Linked DNA regions of Sus scrofa. The protein of the gene in region 1 interacts with the protein of each later gene in a pairwise test. Links are inferred from orthologs where the notes say so. Each region holds a gene or a part of one and is shown in the gene's direction. Other genes may lie near its edges.

Region 1 (6,883 bases):
ATTCGGGGTCCGAGCTGTCTGTGACCTATGCCACAGCTCACAGCAACACCGGATCCTTAACCCACTGAGCAAGGCCAGGGATCCGAACCCGCAACCTCATGATTCCTAGTTGGAGTTGTTTCTGCTGTGCCACAATGGGAACTCCTGTATGTCTTCTTTGGAGAATTGTCTGTTCAGGTTTTCTGCCCCTTTTTCGATTGTGGATTTTTTTTTTTTTTTTGCTGTTGTATGAGTTGTTTGTATATTTTGGAGATGAAGCCTTTGTCAGTTGCATCGTTTACAACTCTTTTCTCCCGTTCCGTAGGTTGTCTTTTTTTTATGGTTTCCTTTGCTATGTGAAGCTTGTGAGTTTGATTAGGTCCCATTGGCCTATTTTTGTTTTTATTTCTATTGCCTTGGGTGACTGACCTAAGAAGACATGTGTATGGTTGATGTCAGAGAATGTTTTGCCTATGTTCTCTTCTAGGAATTTTATAGTATCTTTATAGTATCTTATGTTTAAGTCTTTAAGTCATTTTGAGTTTATGTTTGTGTATGGTGCGAGGGAGTATTCTAGTTTATTTATTTTCTTACTTTTTTTTTTTTTTTTTTTTTTTTTTTTTGTCTTTTTAGGGCTGCACCTGTGGCATATGGAGGTTCCCAGGCTGGGGACTGAATTTGAGCTGTAGCTGCTGGCCTACACCACAGCCACAGCAATGCAGGATCTGAGCCACACCTGCAAACTACACCATAGCTCATGGCAACACCAGATCCTTAACCCACTCAGCGAGGCCAGGGATTGAACCCATGTCCTCATGGATATTAGTCAGGTTCATTTACCACTGAGCCATGACGGGGAACTCCCTAGTTTCTTATTTATTTTATGCATAATAGTTTGGCTTTCTTAGTCCCTTAACCTTACCCCTCTTTTGCCCCTCCCCCAGAACCAGTATTATTATTTTTTTGTCTTTTTACCATTTCTTGGGCCACTCCCGCGGCATATGGAGGTTCCCAGGCTAGGTATCCAATAGGAGCTGTAGCTGCTGGCCTACGCCAGAGCCCCAGCAACATGGGATCCAAGCCGCCATCTGCAGCCTATACCACAGCTCACGGCAATGCCAGATCCTTAGCCCACGGAGCAAGGCCAGGGATCAAACCCGCAACCTGATGGTTCCTAGTCAGATTCTTTAACCACTGCGCCACAGTCCCGGAACCAGTATTTGTATGTGTGTGTGTCTGATTTTTAGGGCTGCATCTACTGAATATGAGGTTCCCAGGCTAGGGGTTGAATCAGAGCTACAGCTGCCAGCCTATAGAACTAGTATCTTTTTTTTTTTTTTTTTTTTTTTTTTTTGTCTTTTGTCTTTTTAGGGCCGCACCCAGGCATATGGAGGTTCCCAGGCTAGGGGTCGAATCAGAGCTACAGCTGCTGGCCTACACCACAGCCACAGCAACATGTGATCCGAGCCGAGTCTGCAGCCTACACCACAGCTCATGGCAATGCTGGATCCTTAACCCACTGAGCAAGGCCAGGGATCGAACCCGCATCCTCATGGTTACCAGTCGGATTCGTTAACCACTGAGCCACGACGGGAACTCCGAACCAGTATCTTTTTTAACCTTACATTCCTCCAGTCTTTTTTCTGTCCAGGGATCTGGTTAGTTGTAGGTTAAACATTCCCATTCCATTCTCTGTTTAGTAACATAAACATGTATCATGGCTGAGAAAGGAAGCTGTTGTCCTTACCTGCACAGTTAGGGGACAGAGGGAATATCAGTTCTTCCTCAGAAGTGCAGTTCCCTTGCCCTCTGACCCCACAACCAGTGGACCCTGCTGGGAGCAGCTGAGGCACTGAGGCATTTGCTATGGTGGGGAGCCAGCTGTCACCAGCGCTCCCTGGCCTTTTTGGGGGCTGCTGCTCGGTGTCATGGGACAGATTGCTAGCCAAAGCCCAGGGCACCCCTTCCTTCTTTCCATTCCTCTGCTGCCAGAACTTCTCTTTTGCTGGATTGAGAGCTTAAAGTTCATCCAAGTCTAGACTGGTGCTGTCCAATTGAAATATGATGCAGAGTTCCCTGGTGGCACACTGGGTTAAGGACCTGGCATTGTCGTGCTGCAGCTCAGGTTGCTGCTATGGCCCAGGTTCCATTCCTGGCCTGAGAACTTCTACATGCTGCTGGTGTGACCAAAGAAAGTGTTACCTTTTTTTTTTTTTTTTTTTTTGGTCTTTTGCCCTTTCTAGGGCCGCTTCCCAAGGCATATGGAGGTTCCCAGGCTAGGGGTCTAATCGGAGCTATAGCCGCCAGCCTACACCAGAGCCACAGCAATGCAGGATCCAAGCCGCGTCTGCAACCTACACCACAGCTCATGGCAATGCTGGATCCTTAACCCAATGAGCAAGGCCAGGGGTCGAACCTGCAACCTCATGGTTCCTAGCTGGGTTTGTTAACCACTGCGCCATGACAGGGACTCCCAGAAAAAGTGTTACTTTTAAATCATTTCTTTAAAATTCCATTGTTTCAAAGCTGTCCATTCCTAATCTTGTGAATTGATCATGTGTGTGTCTGTATCTTTAATTTCTTTGAACATTTCATACAGAAGGCCCAGCTGCTGTGTATGTGGCAGTGTAACGTTGGCTGTCTTGGGCGCTCTTGGGTGTACTGTCTGTGCTAATTTTCCTGGTAGTCTCTTTCTTACGACTGCTGGTCTTTGACTCCTCTCCTTGACCTTAATCGGGGGAGTCCCAGGGCCCTGCGCTGGGACTGAGGGTTTTTCAGAGAAGGTTGGCATCTCCTTTTACAGTCACTGAAAAATGCCCTCCCCCTGGGTCTACACTGCCACCTGTTAGAGGCTCTCGTGAGAGAGGCAGCTCAGCTTCCCACTCAAGGCTGGCATCCCGCTCAGCTTCTGGGTAGCAGGTGGCCATGGCCACTTACCTCTGGCAGCCCTGCCTCTCCCAGTTGCCCACTTCCCTGGTTCCAGCCCTCTGCTCCCAGCTCCATTTTGTAAACCATTTAATGAATTAATTATTTTGAGGAGGGTAGTCCTTGGAGATTTCCCTTAGCTCTGGGAGACCTTTCTAGAGATGAGCTGTGCTGTTACAGGAGTGTTCTAAGGACCCAGGTGGTCATGACGCCAGACCTGGGAGGACCTGCAGACATCAGGAAACTCGACTGTGTGTGTGTGTGTCTCTACAGGAATTCATCGAAGAGCTGCTATCTCCCCCTTTTGGGGGTCTGGTGGCATTTGTGAAGGAAGCTGAGGCCCTGATTGAGCGTGGGCAAGCCGAACGACTCCGAGGGGAAGAAGGTAAGAAGGGTGGGTGGGGTCAGTGAGAGGTGAACGGGAAAGAAGAAATTTAAATTTTTTTGAATTATTTTATTTGCTTTTTAGGGCCGAACTCTCAGCATATGGAGGTTCCCAGGCTAGGGGTCTAATTGGAGCTACAGCTGCCAACCTACACCACGGCCACAGCAACACCAGATCCGAGCCCCGTCTGTGACCTACACCACAGCTCACGGCAACACCGGATCCTTAACCCACTGAGCGAGGCCAGGGATCAAACCCACAAGCTCATGGTTCCTAGTTGGATTTGTTTCCCCTGTGCCACAAAGGGAACTCCCAGGAAAGAAGAAATTTGAGGATGCAGATCACATTGCGGGGGGTGGGGGGGCAGTGGTAGAGCAGGGAAGGGTGGGTTGGTGAAAAGGGGTTGCATGGTGAGGATGGCGGTGCCTGGTGGAGAGCCTAGAGGGATCAAACATCACATGGCTATTACCTCTCCCCCCACGACCAGCCCGCGTTACTCAGCTGATCCGGGGCTTTGGCAGTTCCTGGAAGTCGTCTGTGGAGTCCCTGAGCCAGGATGTCATGCGGAGCTTCACCAACTTCAGGAATGGAACCAGCATCATCCAGGTGACCTGCAGTCCCCAGTCCCACCCACCCACCACTGATTTCCCCCCGCTTTTCTTTTTTGGCTGCGCCCGTGGCGTGCCAAAGTTCCCAGGCCAGGGATGGAACCTGAGCCATAGCAGTGACAATGCTGGCTCCTTAACCCACTGAGCCACCATGGAACTCCCCCACCCCTTTCTCTGGGCTCAGAATCATACAAGTGACCCTTGATTTTCATTCCATCTGGACCCCAAGTCCTGTGCCCTGACATGATCCTAATCGTCACCCTGGTACCACCCCATACCTCATCCCTTGGTGGTTTTCTCCAAGCAGGGAGCACTAACCCAGCTGATCCAGCTCTACCACCGCTTCCACCGTGTGCTGTCCCAGCCCCAGCTCCGAGCCCTCCCAGCCCGTGCTGAGCTTATCAACATCCACCACCTCATGGTGGAGCTCAAGAAGCACAAGCCCAACTTCTGACACACCAGATGCTGGAGCCACCGGCCCTCCCCATGAACTTCTTCCCTCGGGGTCCCCCTTCCGGTTTGCCCCTGGCCAGAAGAAATTTGAGGATGCAGGCTCTTGACATGCCGCACCCGCCTTCACCCCAGGCACCTGCCTCCTCAGGATAAGCTGGGTCACCGTGGCTTTCTGAACCTCCTGTCCTCAGGTTTCCAGGACCACTCCCCCCTGGGCTTCCAAAATAACCTTGGTTATTTTTCCAATTTTCTCATTCCTCTTCCCCCTACACCGCCCTGCCCTTTTCTTCTGCTGGTGAAACCCTCGCTGCCACATCTTTGGTTCACTCAGCTCTTACCCCCTGGTGTCAGGTGTGAAGCCTCAGCTCTTGGAGTTGGTGTAGCAGGGGAGACTGCCTCATAACAGTTGATTTTTTTTTTCCTACTCAAAGTGATCCTTTTCTGTAGCTTTTTGACCTAAGATCTCAGCAACTTGAACACTAACCAGTCCCCTCCTGGCTTGAGAGTTACTCCATCCAAGGTCAGTCTGCAGAAAACAATAAATGTTTAATATGACATAAAACCCTTCGCCTGTTTCCTTTCTCCTTCCTCCTGGGACTTTCACTTAGCCCCATCTCTGCTCCAGGGTCCCTTTGCTCTCTGACTACCTCCTGGGCCTACATCCCTTCTGGTGGGTGTCTAGAAAGTAGGGGCATAGTAACCTCTGACCTCTAGCTACTGGTTTTAGGGGAGTGGAGGAAGGTGGCCCCTGGTCATAATGGCAGATGCATCAAGGGTTGTGGGCCTCAGGCATTGCATCCAAGGGCTACCTGGCCTCCTGCCTCCTCCAGCTGACCCCTAGGGTTGCCTCCTCTCCTTCACTGTCTGCTTCCTAGCTCTTTGCCGGAGGCTGCAGCACGCAGACTACTGGGGCGGGGCTGGGCCAGGCTTGCACTGTGACAGTCTATCCATTTCTGGGTTGACCTGCGCCTTCTCTAGAGGGAGAGACTTGGAGACTCCTGTGGATCCCCAGGGGGAAGGCCTGGACAGTCAGGAGAAAATGGTAATTTGGGGCCTACTCATTCCCCCCAGCGGGTGGTGAAAGAAAAGTGGCTTCTCGCAGTCTGGGTGCGGTACCAGCCAGCTGCGAAGGCAGCGACTACGCAGCTCCTACACACGCAGGAAAGGGCGCTGCTTGGGGCCCGAACGCCGGGAGGCGGAGCTGGGGTAGTGGCGGGCTCTGTCGATGGGCTCCCGTGCAGAGGGGGTGTGGCGAGGCCGCCTTGTCTCCAAAAACAGCGCGCTGATTGGCTTTGGGAGCCCTATTTCTAAGCTTCAGCTCCGCCTCCCGAGTCAGTAGGGAGGCTGGAGACTCAGAGCGGCTCCTGATTGGCTCAGACACCACAGGGATGGAATCAGGATAGCGCCCTTCCCTGACTTCACCACTTCGCCGCCACTTCCTCTCCTCCCCGCGGGCCTCCTGGCTCACCCGGCATGCCAGAACACCTGACATCCCCAGAGGCCTGCCTGCCCCAGGAGTCTGCTGTCCCATCACCTCTCTTTCCTGTCCCTCGCCCCCACCAGGGGTGCCTCACGTTCTCACATTTGACCTGATCCCTGCGCAGTTCGAGGAGAGCAGGAGGGTTCACGGCTGGGACCTGGGAGACAGAGCGGTTTCCCAGAGAGGGAATCTCTGCGTCTCTGCATATCCCACAAAGGAGATTGCCGAGACAGGCGATTTCATCGAAGTCGACCTCGGTTGGGAGAAGGAATGTGCGTGTAGGCACCTTGGTTTTCCAACTTCTGACCTTCTCTGCCCCTAGCTATCCCCAGCCCCAGTGTTCATGCTCCGACAAGCACAGTCTTTTGCAGGCCTCACTGAGGGTCACTGCTGCAGAGTGAGGAGGCTCCCGTTTTGGAGCCAGGGGGTACTGAGGTCGAACTGCCCGAGAGCGCGCAGGAGCCCTCTGACCAACAGTCTCAGGATGGCACAAAAGGAGACAGGGCAGCGTGAGATACCTCTGCTGGCCTCCAGGGGGCAGCATCTACCAGGGGAAGGGTCTCCATGGCCCAAGCCACTAGCATTTCTGCTGCCTGGTTGGCCCAAGGCAGCGAGACTCCTCCCGCGCCCCCTTCAGGCTAAAGCAACCCGAGAGACTTTCCCTTCAGCCTAGAAACATCCTGTCCCGGGGCTTACATGGGTCCTTGAGACACTGGGCTGAAACTCCCAACTTCTGGCTGATACCACTGCCCTCCAACTTCTCCCTCATTTCTTCCCTTTGCTGATGACACGCTCTGGCCTCACAGAGCAGACGCATCAGGGGGTCACTCCTTGCGGGGGGGTGGTAGGGTGGGGGGAGCTGTCAGTGTCCTCATTTCAGGCTCACATCTGTGCCTGGTACCTGGGTCCCTGTCCTTCCTAGTGTCATACAGGAAGGACTTGGAGGCATCCTTATGGGTAGTGACAGTGCCCGAGGATGCTAAGGGACCTCCGTCCTTGAAGGACACATCACTCCATTTCTACACCTCTGTGCCCTCAACTTGTCCCGAAGTT
Region 2 (7,660 bases), on another chromosome or scaffold:
GATCTCGGAAGCTAAGCAGGGTCAGGCGTGGTCCGTACTTGGATGGGAGGACCCCAGCATTGTCATTGCAGCAGCTTGGGTCGCTGCTGAGGCAGGTTCGATCCCTGGCCCAGGGACTTCTATATGCTTTAGGTGTGGCAAAAAAAAAAAAGTAAAGCTTCGAACTGACACTCCATGTAAAGTGCACTTAGAAGCGTGCCTGGGGCTCAGGGAGGGCTGTCTGAGCATTGGACCTCAGGCTGCTGAGAAATGAGAAGCTGCATGTGAAACACTCAGCGTGGTGCCTGGTCCAGAGGTGTTCAGTACGTGCTGGCCGGGCGACAGCCAGCTGGCTCACGCATCCTTTCAGGAGGAGGAATGCCACCACATCTCCCAAGAAGGGGAGACTGAGCCCAGCCAGAGGAAGTCCGGCAGAGCCGGGAGGAGCGGAGGCCCCTCTGGGAGAGCAGGACGGGGAGGAGGCTGGCGAGGAGATTGCCCCTGCTGTCCGAGGTGGCAGGCACCTGGGGAGGCGCTGCCTGGAATCACATGCCTGTACTTGCCAGCTCTGGGTAAACAGTGAAAGGAGTTGGGCAGCAGGGGCCCCACGCTGGGCAGGGAGGGGGACGGGGGATCACAGCCAATGGGCTGGCCTCCCACTGCCCCATGAAAGGGCCATTCAGTTCAGGCCGTTCCTTTGGCAACAGGGAGACTCTTGCAGCCATGTGAGCGCCCGTCCTGTCCCTGTCTTGCGCAGCAAGGCTAGATTCAGGGCCCTGGCCCGCCCTCCCACCCAAGGTGCATTCTGCAGGCTCCCAGGACAGCCCGTGCCAGGTAATGCCAGGGGCACCAACCCACCTATCTGCTCACCTGAGAGGTGCTAGCCCTGAACTTAAGAGTAAAACTGGGGGCTGGGGGAGGGGATGGGCCTGCCCCAGACCTCAGTCCCAATAGGGAGCCTCTCCCCAGAGAGGGGATCTATAAGCCAGCTGCCTGCACTTAGAGGCAGCTTCCAGGGGGCTGTTAGTGATGGCTGCTGCGCCAGTGGGAGGTCTGTCACCAGCCTGCCAGATTGAAAAGAACAGGAGAGTGGGATTTAAGAGCTCTCCTGGGATTCTTGGGGGCTGGAAGGTGGGATTTCCCCTCCAGCCCCCAACCCTTCCCAGGGCTGCTCGTGGGCCATCCCAGGGTCGTCCCTGTCTGCCGTACCTTGTTTGGACCTGGCACTTTGGCATCTGCTGGAGAGGTCGCAAGCTTGGGGCACAGCCTGCTGAATACCAATTCCCTGGGAACCTGAGTGTGGGGGAGGGGAAAGGCCCATGGCGGGGCGGGGGTTGTGTCTGATTGGCTGCCGGGTGTCCCAGAGCCCAGCTCCTGAGGCCTGGAGTCTCTTTGACTTTGAATTATTGATGGAGCTCTCTCCAACGTGAAATAGAGCAGGACTGGTCCCCCCACCGCCGCCCCCCGGCCCTACCCCCACCCCCACCTCTTTCTGTCTCTCCCCCTGGCCTCCCTCAGCCTTCATTCTCTTCCTTCCCTGGACCCCAGAAAGCTAAGCAGATAGGAGGGAAGCTTGTGGTTTCCCCCTAACCCTGCATGAGGTCCTCTTCCAGTTATTTTTTTCCTACATAGAGGTGAAAGTTGTGCTGGAGGTAGGAGCACAGTGGGCGAGGGAGTGTCCAGTGAAGGGTAGGGGGTCCCCTGGCCAGGTGGGGAAAAAGTGGTTGGTAACTACAGGTCAGACCTCTCTGATGCCGAAAACGGCTGGAGGGCTTCGGCAGGGCCTGGAAGTTCTGTTGTGGGGCCTAGATGGAAGGTGCCACCTGCCGCTCTGCCACCCCTGCACCTCTCCCACGCCTTATATGGACTGAGTTTCTAGAGTTCTCTGCTCAGCCCTCTGCATGTGGGGCTTGGCACCAGCTCCTCTCTGCCCGCATGGGCTGGGCTGCCAGCCTGGGGCAAGCTGTGGGCTGCCCACTGCCCGCTTATCCGCTCATCCCGCTGGGAGCTGCAGGGAGAAGCCTGGCGCCCAGGGCTGCGGTCAGAGGCCGGCCAGGCCAGGAGACAGCCAGCCCTGACGTTATTATAGGCCTACAAACGGAGGAGCCGGGCCGCCTGGCAGGGGCTGGGGGAGGAGATAATAACCACTGTCCTTGTTGAGGGCTTTCGTGTGTTATTATCTCATTTATTCCTCGCGACAACCCTGTGAGGTAGGAATCTAATGATGATTATTACACAGATGAGGAAGCTGGGGCTCAGAGAGGGTCAATGACTAGTGCAAAACCACCCAGCTAGTCAGCGCAGGGCACAGCCCTTACACACACGACTCTGAGGGTCCTGCACCCCCACCACCCCAGGAGCCCCCAAGAGCCACTGCTGACCCTCAAGGAAAGGAGCCAATCCCACTTGCTCCTCCCTTTAAAGTACCTTGCCCTCCAGCTCCATTGTAGATGAAGCCTGCAGGTTTAGGGTGATGGAGGGACTCTGGGGGTCCCCACATGAGCCTAAATGTGATGGGGGTGTGAACTGAGGTAAAGTCGGAAGAGCACTGGGCTGGAAATCTGAGAGACATGGACGCCAATCCCGGCTCTGCTAGTGAGTGACCCTGGGCAAGTCAGCAGCCCTTCTCCCAATTGTACGACAGAGGACTTAAGATGGACCACCCTGTAGGGCCCTCCAAACTCCTCGATTCAGAGATTCTGTGTTCCTTTAGCAGGCCCACCCCACTGCAAGGACTGCGGATGGGGCCCCGGATTGCTGCCTGCAGTGCAGGATTTTAGCCTCTAGGGGGCCCCTTTTGCACAAGTCATTATCACCATGGTGGTGCTGGTAGGGGAATGGGAATCCCTGTGAGGCCACAGGCCCTAACTCCACTGAGAACCAAAGGTTTGGACCAGTGAAGAGGGTGGACTCCACGACATGAGGATCCCCCACGGCAGCAGGTGACCGTGACCAGGGAAGAATGAGGTCAGGCACACTCTCTGTCACTCGCCGCCACCTCTCCACAGCCCCCTCTCTTCCTTTCTTCATCAGGGATCTTCCTTTCCTCATCAGGGATCTGGCCAAATGATCCTCGGGTCATGCCAGCTCAGACAGCGTAGGATTCCCAGGACTCACTCATGCCACCGGTCAGAAAGAAGGGGAGCAGTCTTAACTCTTGGAGTGTCCAGCGTTTTCAATCCAGGGCATGAGGGCGGTGGCAACCCCCCACCTCAGGAGTATCTGCAGAAGCAGAGGAGAGGAAGCAGATGGGATCTGGGTTGGAATAGCACTTGCTGCTTGAGGGGCTGCTGAGGTAGGGCAGTCCCTGCCCTCACACTGAGTGTACTCAGAGTGGGCAGGACATGCTGAGACTGATTGCCCCCCTGTGGTTTATAAAAGCCAACTCAGGGGAAAATGAATCTGACTAGTATCCATGAGAATACAGGTTCGATCCCTGGCCTCGCTCAGTGGGTCAAGGATCCAGCATTGCTGACAGCTGTGGTGTAGGTCACAGATGTGGCTCAGATCTCGCATCACTGTGGCTGTGGCATAGGCCGGCAGCTGCGGCCCTGCTTTCACCTCTAGCCTGGGAATTGCCATGTGCTGCGAGTGCAGCCCTTAAAAAAACAAACACAAAAAGCCAGTTTACCCCGTGTGCTCTCTCTAAGGTGTGAATGCATGGGTGCATGGAGACCTGCGTGCCTGCATGTGCGCTCACATGCAGAGGTGTGTCTCAGTGGTGGGCAGCAGACTGTGTGGTTCCTGGTCGAGATCTTCGGTCTGGCCAACTGGGGATGGAAAGCAGGTGCGGTGGGATATGACCCCCCCGCAGGACCCTCTGACAACTACTTTCCTTGTCTTTCAGCCCATGAGGCTCCCAGTCCCCAGTGAGTGCCGCCCTGAAGGATGTCCCAGCTCTCCTCCACCTTGAAGCGCTACACAGAATCAGCCCGCTACACAGATGCCCCTTACGCCAAATCAGGCTATGGCACCTACACTCCCTCTTCCTACGGGGCCAACCTGGCCGCCTCCTTCCTGGAGAAGGAGAAGCTCGGTTTCAAGCCGGGCCCCTCAACCAGCTTCCTCACCCGTCCCCGTACCTACGGCCCCCCATCCATCCTGGACTATGACCGAGGCCGCCCCTTGCTGAGACCCGACATCATCGGAGGTGGTAAGCGGGCGGAGAGCCAGACTCGGGGCACTGAGCGGCCTTCAGGGAGTGGACTCAGCGGGGGCAGTGGATTCCCTTACGGAGTGACCACCAGCTCCCTCAGCTACCTGCCCGTGAATGCCCGCGACCAGGGGGTAACCCTGACCCAGAAGAAGTCGAATAGTCAATCGGACCTGGCCCGGGATTTCTCCAGCCTCCGGACCTCAGATAGCTACCGGCTAGACCCGGGGAACTTGGGCCGCAGCCCCATGCTGGCCCGCACGCGCAAGGAGCTGTGCGCCCTGCAGGGGCTCTACCAGGCAGCCAGCCGCTCTGAGTACCTGGCCGACTACCTGGAGAACTATGGTCGCAAGGGCAGCACGCCTCAGGTGCCCACCCAGGCCCCTCTCTCACGAGTCCCTGAAGTCCTCAGCCCCACCTACCGACCCAGTGGCCGTTACACTCCGTGGGAAAAGAGCAAGGGCCAGACCCCTGTATCCAGCCGCTCCAGCTCCCCCGGGCGAGACACCATGGTGAGTTTGCCCCCTGGGGACCTGGTGATGGACTGGGGAAGGCAGCCACTGATGTACAAGAGCCAGGCTGAGGCAAGGACTCCCAACTTGACTGATGATCAAAGGCAGAGGTTTTCTTCTCGGACCTCACAGGGGCTGCTCTTGCAGCCCAAGTGGGGACGAGCCAGGGAAGCCACCTCAGCACGTCTGGTGCCCTCGGGGCTCAGGACCTTCCTTGCTTAAGGGCCTTCCTGTTCTCCCTAGGAAACCTACTTCACCACCTGTGCCCTTGATGGTGGCCCAGCAGTGCTCTTGGAAATACTCAGCTACCCCCACATATACTGCGATTCTTGTCTTCTACTTTCCCACCCAACATGCCCAGGTTCCCTGCAGGCCCTGCCCTGTCCTGAACTGAATGCTGAGACCCCCAGACCACCACTGGGCCCTGTGGTAAGAGGGGCTTCCTTGACTGCCTGCGTCTCTCCTCCTGCTCAGACTATTACCTTCTAGCCCAGAGATGGGCTTAACCCTGGGACATAAGACATCAGGGCCGGGGAGGGGAGAGAGTTCCCATTGTGGCACAGCAGAAACGAATCTGAGTAGTATCCATGCAGATGTGGGTTCAATCTTTGGCCTCGCTCAGTGGGTTAAGGATTTGGCATTGGCCATGGGCCATGGTGTAGGTCGCAGGTGCCGCCCGGATCCCACATGGCTGTGGCTGTGGTGTAGGCCAACAGCTGTAGCTCCGATTAGACTCCTAGCCTGGGAACCTCCCTATGCCAAGGGTGCGGCCCTAAAAAAGAAAAAAGGAAAGGAAAAGACATCAAGGAAGAGGGGCTGTCCTCAGATGGACCCTGCCTGGCTCAGGGAGTGAAGACAGGAGTGGTTCTCATGTATCTTTGGAGAAAAGTGGTAGAGAAGTTTTGTCGAGGACTTTAGACAATCCAGTCCCTTTCTACTCCGATCCTGGCTGAGCTCAAATAAGGGAGGAGGCTCAGCCAGAGACCAAGTAAGGGCAGGCATGGCCCTGCTCCCATCTAACCCTTGAACACCTCTCTACATTCTGCCTTTGCTGTAGTAACTAGTTTACCTATTAGGTGGTGAGCTGTCAGAGGATGAGAGAGAAGTCAGCTCTCTAGGCCTCTCCCCATGTGCCTCGCTCAGTGCAGACCTCAGCTGACTGCTGATCCCATGGATGAGTGGGTAGCTGGGAGGGCGGGGGAGGGTGAGTGGATGGGTGGGGGGATGAGTGGGTGCATAGAGGGACAGGACCCACAGGCATGTGGATGTTGATTGTGTCTCCTTCATTACTTTACGGACCCTTCCCCTACTTTTAGGACATGTGTCTTTGGGGACCAGTTTCTGTGCCATAGCAAGAAATGCTGCCTAGGGGCCCTGTCCAGAATAATGGAGCAAGGGTGCAGGATGGAGGCGGGGCTTTGAGTCATTGACCTTGAAGCTTGTCATAACTAAATGTCTTGAGAGGGAGCTCCCACTGTGGCACAGTGGATTAAGAACCCGACTAGGATCCATGAGGATGTGGGTTCAATCCCTGGCCTTGCTCAGTGGGTTAGGGATCTGGCATTGGCCCTGAGCTGTGGTGTAGGTCACAGATGTGGCTCAGATCCCCCATTGCTGTGGCTGTGGTGTAGGCCGGCAGCTGCAGCTCCGATTCGATTCCTAGCCTGGGAACTTCCATATGCCACGAGTGTGGCCCTAAAAAAAAAAAGAAAAAAGGTCCTAGAGAGGACAATTTTGATACCATTACTTAGAAAGTCTTGGCCTTGCTGGGCCATCTCTGAAGTGTCACAGGAGATGCCGGAGCTGGTGCCTCCCGGAACATTCAGACCCTGTGAGGGCAAGGCTGGCTACACTGGAGGGCTGGTGTAAACAAGGCGTGCTAGATGATGGAGCCGGCCCGGGAGAGAGGGGCTGTGCTCTCAAGGACAGATGTGGGTTAGAGCCTGACACCCATTCCAAAGCAGACACCCCCGGCCCCACCTCCACCCCCAGGGCCAGGGTGAGGGGAGTTTTAAGAGAGGACCTCAGAGGGGTGGCAAATTGACCCAAGCAAACTCAGCCACCCTCACATCCCTCCTTCCCGCCCAGAAACAGCTCACAACACACTTAAGTAGCAGCAGCCCTACAATCAAGCTAGCGTTTCACTCTGAGCTCACGCTCAGGAAGATACCATCCACTGGGAAAGGCCCCTCTTGATTTAACCTCAGACCTTGATTTAACCTCACCTTCTCTCTCCTCACCACCCTTACCCTTGCTTTTGGAGCTGACATCTTGCTGTGGTTAGAACAACCCTGTTCATGGGGCCTGGACCACTTTTTTCTAGAACCAGGTCCAGTTTCAGAGTTCCTGTCATGGCTCAGTAGTTAACGAATCTGACTAGGAACCATGAGGTGGTGGGTTCCATCCCTGGCCTCGCTCAATGGGTTAAGGATCCAGCGTTGCCGTGAGCTGTGGTGTGGATCACAGACGAGGCTCGGATCTGGTGTGGCTGTGGCTGTGGCATAGGCTGGCAGCTGTAGCTCCAGTTGGACCCCTAGCCTGGGAACTTCCATATGCCATGGGTGCAGCTCTAGAAAAGACAAAAAAAAAAAAAATAGAACCAGGTCCAGTTTCTTTTTCGATCTCCATGTGGGGATTTTCTGTCTCATTCATTCCTTCACGGTGCTCAGCTTACTAGCAGCGTGACCTCAGGGAAGTTCCTGACCGTCTAAACCTGTAAAGTGAGATCCGCATTGTTCCCACTTCATGGATTATTTTGAGGCGTCAAAGGCTGCAGGCGAATGGGCCTGACACACAGTAAGTGTTCAAAAAATATCAGTCTTCTCAGTCCTGCCACCTCCCAGGAGCTTCGGGAGGTAGGAGAGGCGCGAGCCACATTCCCCGCCCTCGGTGCATTTGCAACGAACTTGGGGAAATAAGCTCTAAAAATAATTGCAATAGAAGGCAGTCCTAGGTGTTTTTCAAGGTCAGAGGTGGTGGGAAAGGGAGAGGTCACAGAGGCTGGGTTGGGCTGCTG

Evidence for each region.
Region 2: the proteins of VPS52 (region 1) and USP2 interact in binary tests that used the Homo sapiens proteins (3 or more experiments, as listed by UniProt). The two-hybrid records come from large-scale screens. The link is inferred for Sus scrofa from reciprocal best matches to the Homo sapiens genes VPS52 and USP2.

What each region holds. Positions count from the first base shown.
Region 1 is NC_010449.5:29,622,253-29,629,135, reverse strand, and holds the end of VPS52 (vacuolar protein sorting-associated protein 52 homolog), read left to right. Parts: intron 1-3,177; coding exon 3,178-3,289; intron 3,290-3,776; coding exon 3,777-3,895; intron 3,896-4,204; coding exon 4,205-4,351; 3' UTR 4,352-4,912; downstream 4,913-6,883. UniProt on the Homo sapiens protein: Acts as a component of the GARP complex that is involved in retrograde transport from early and late endosomes to the trans-Golgi network (TGN).
Region 2 is NC_010451.4:46,578,264-46,585,923, reverse strand, and holds part of USP2 (ubiquitin carboxyl-terminal hydrolase 2), read left to right. Parts: intron 1-684; exon of another isoform or gene 685-813; intron 814-3,821; exon of another isoform or gene 3,822-3,826; 5' UTR 3,827-3,867; coding exon 3,868-4,644; intron 4,645-7,660. UniProt on the Homo sapiens protein: Hydrolase that deubiquitinates polyubiquitinated target proteins such as MDM2, MDM4 and CCND1. Isoform 1 and isoform 4 possess both ubiquitin-specific peptidase and isopeptidase activities.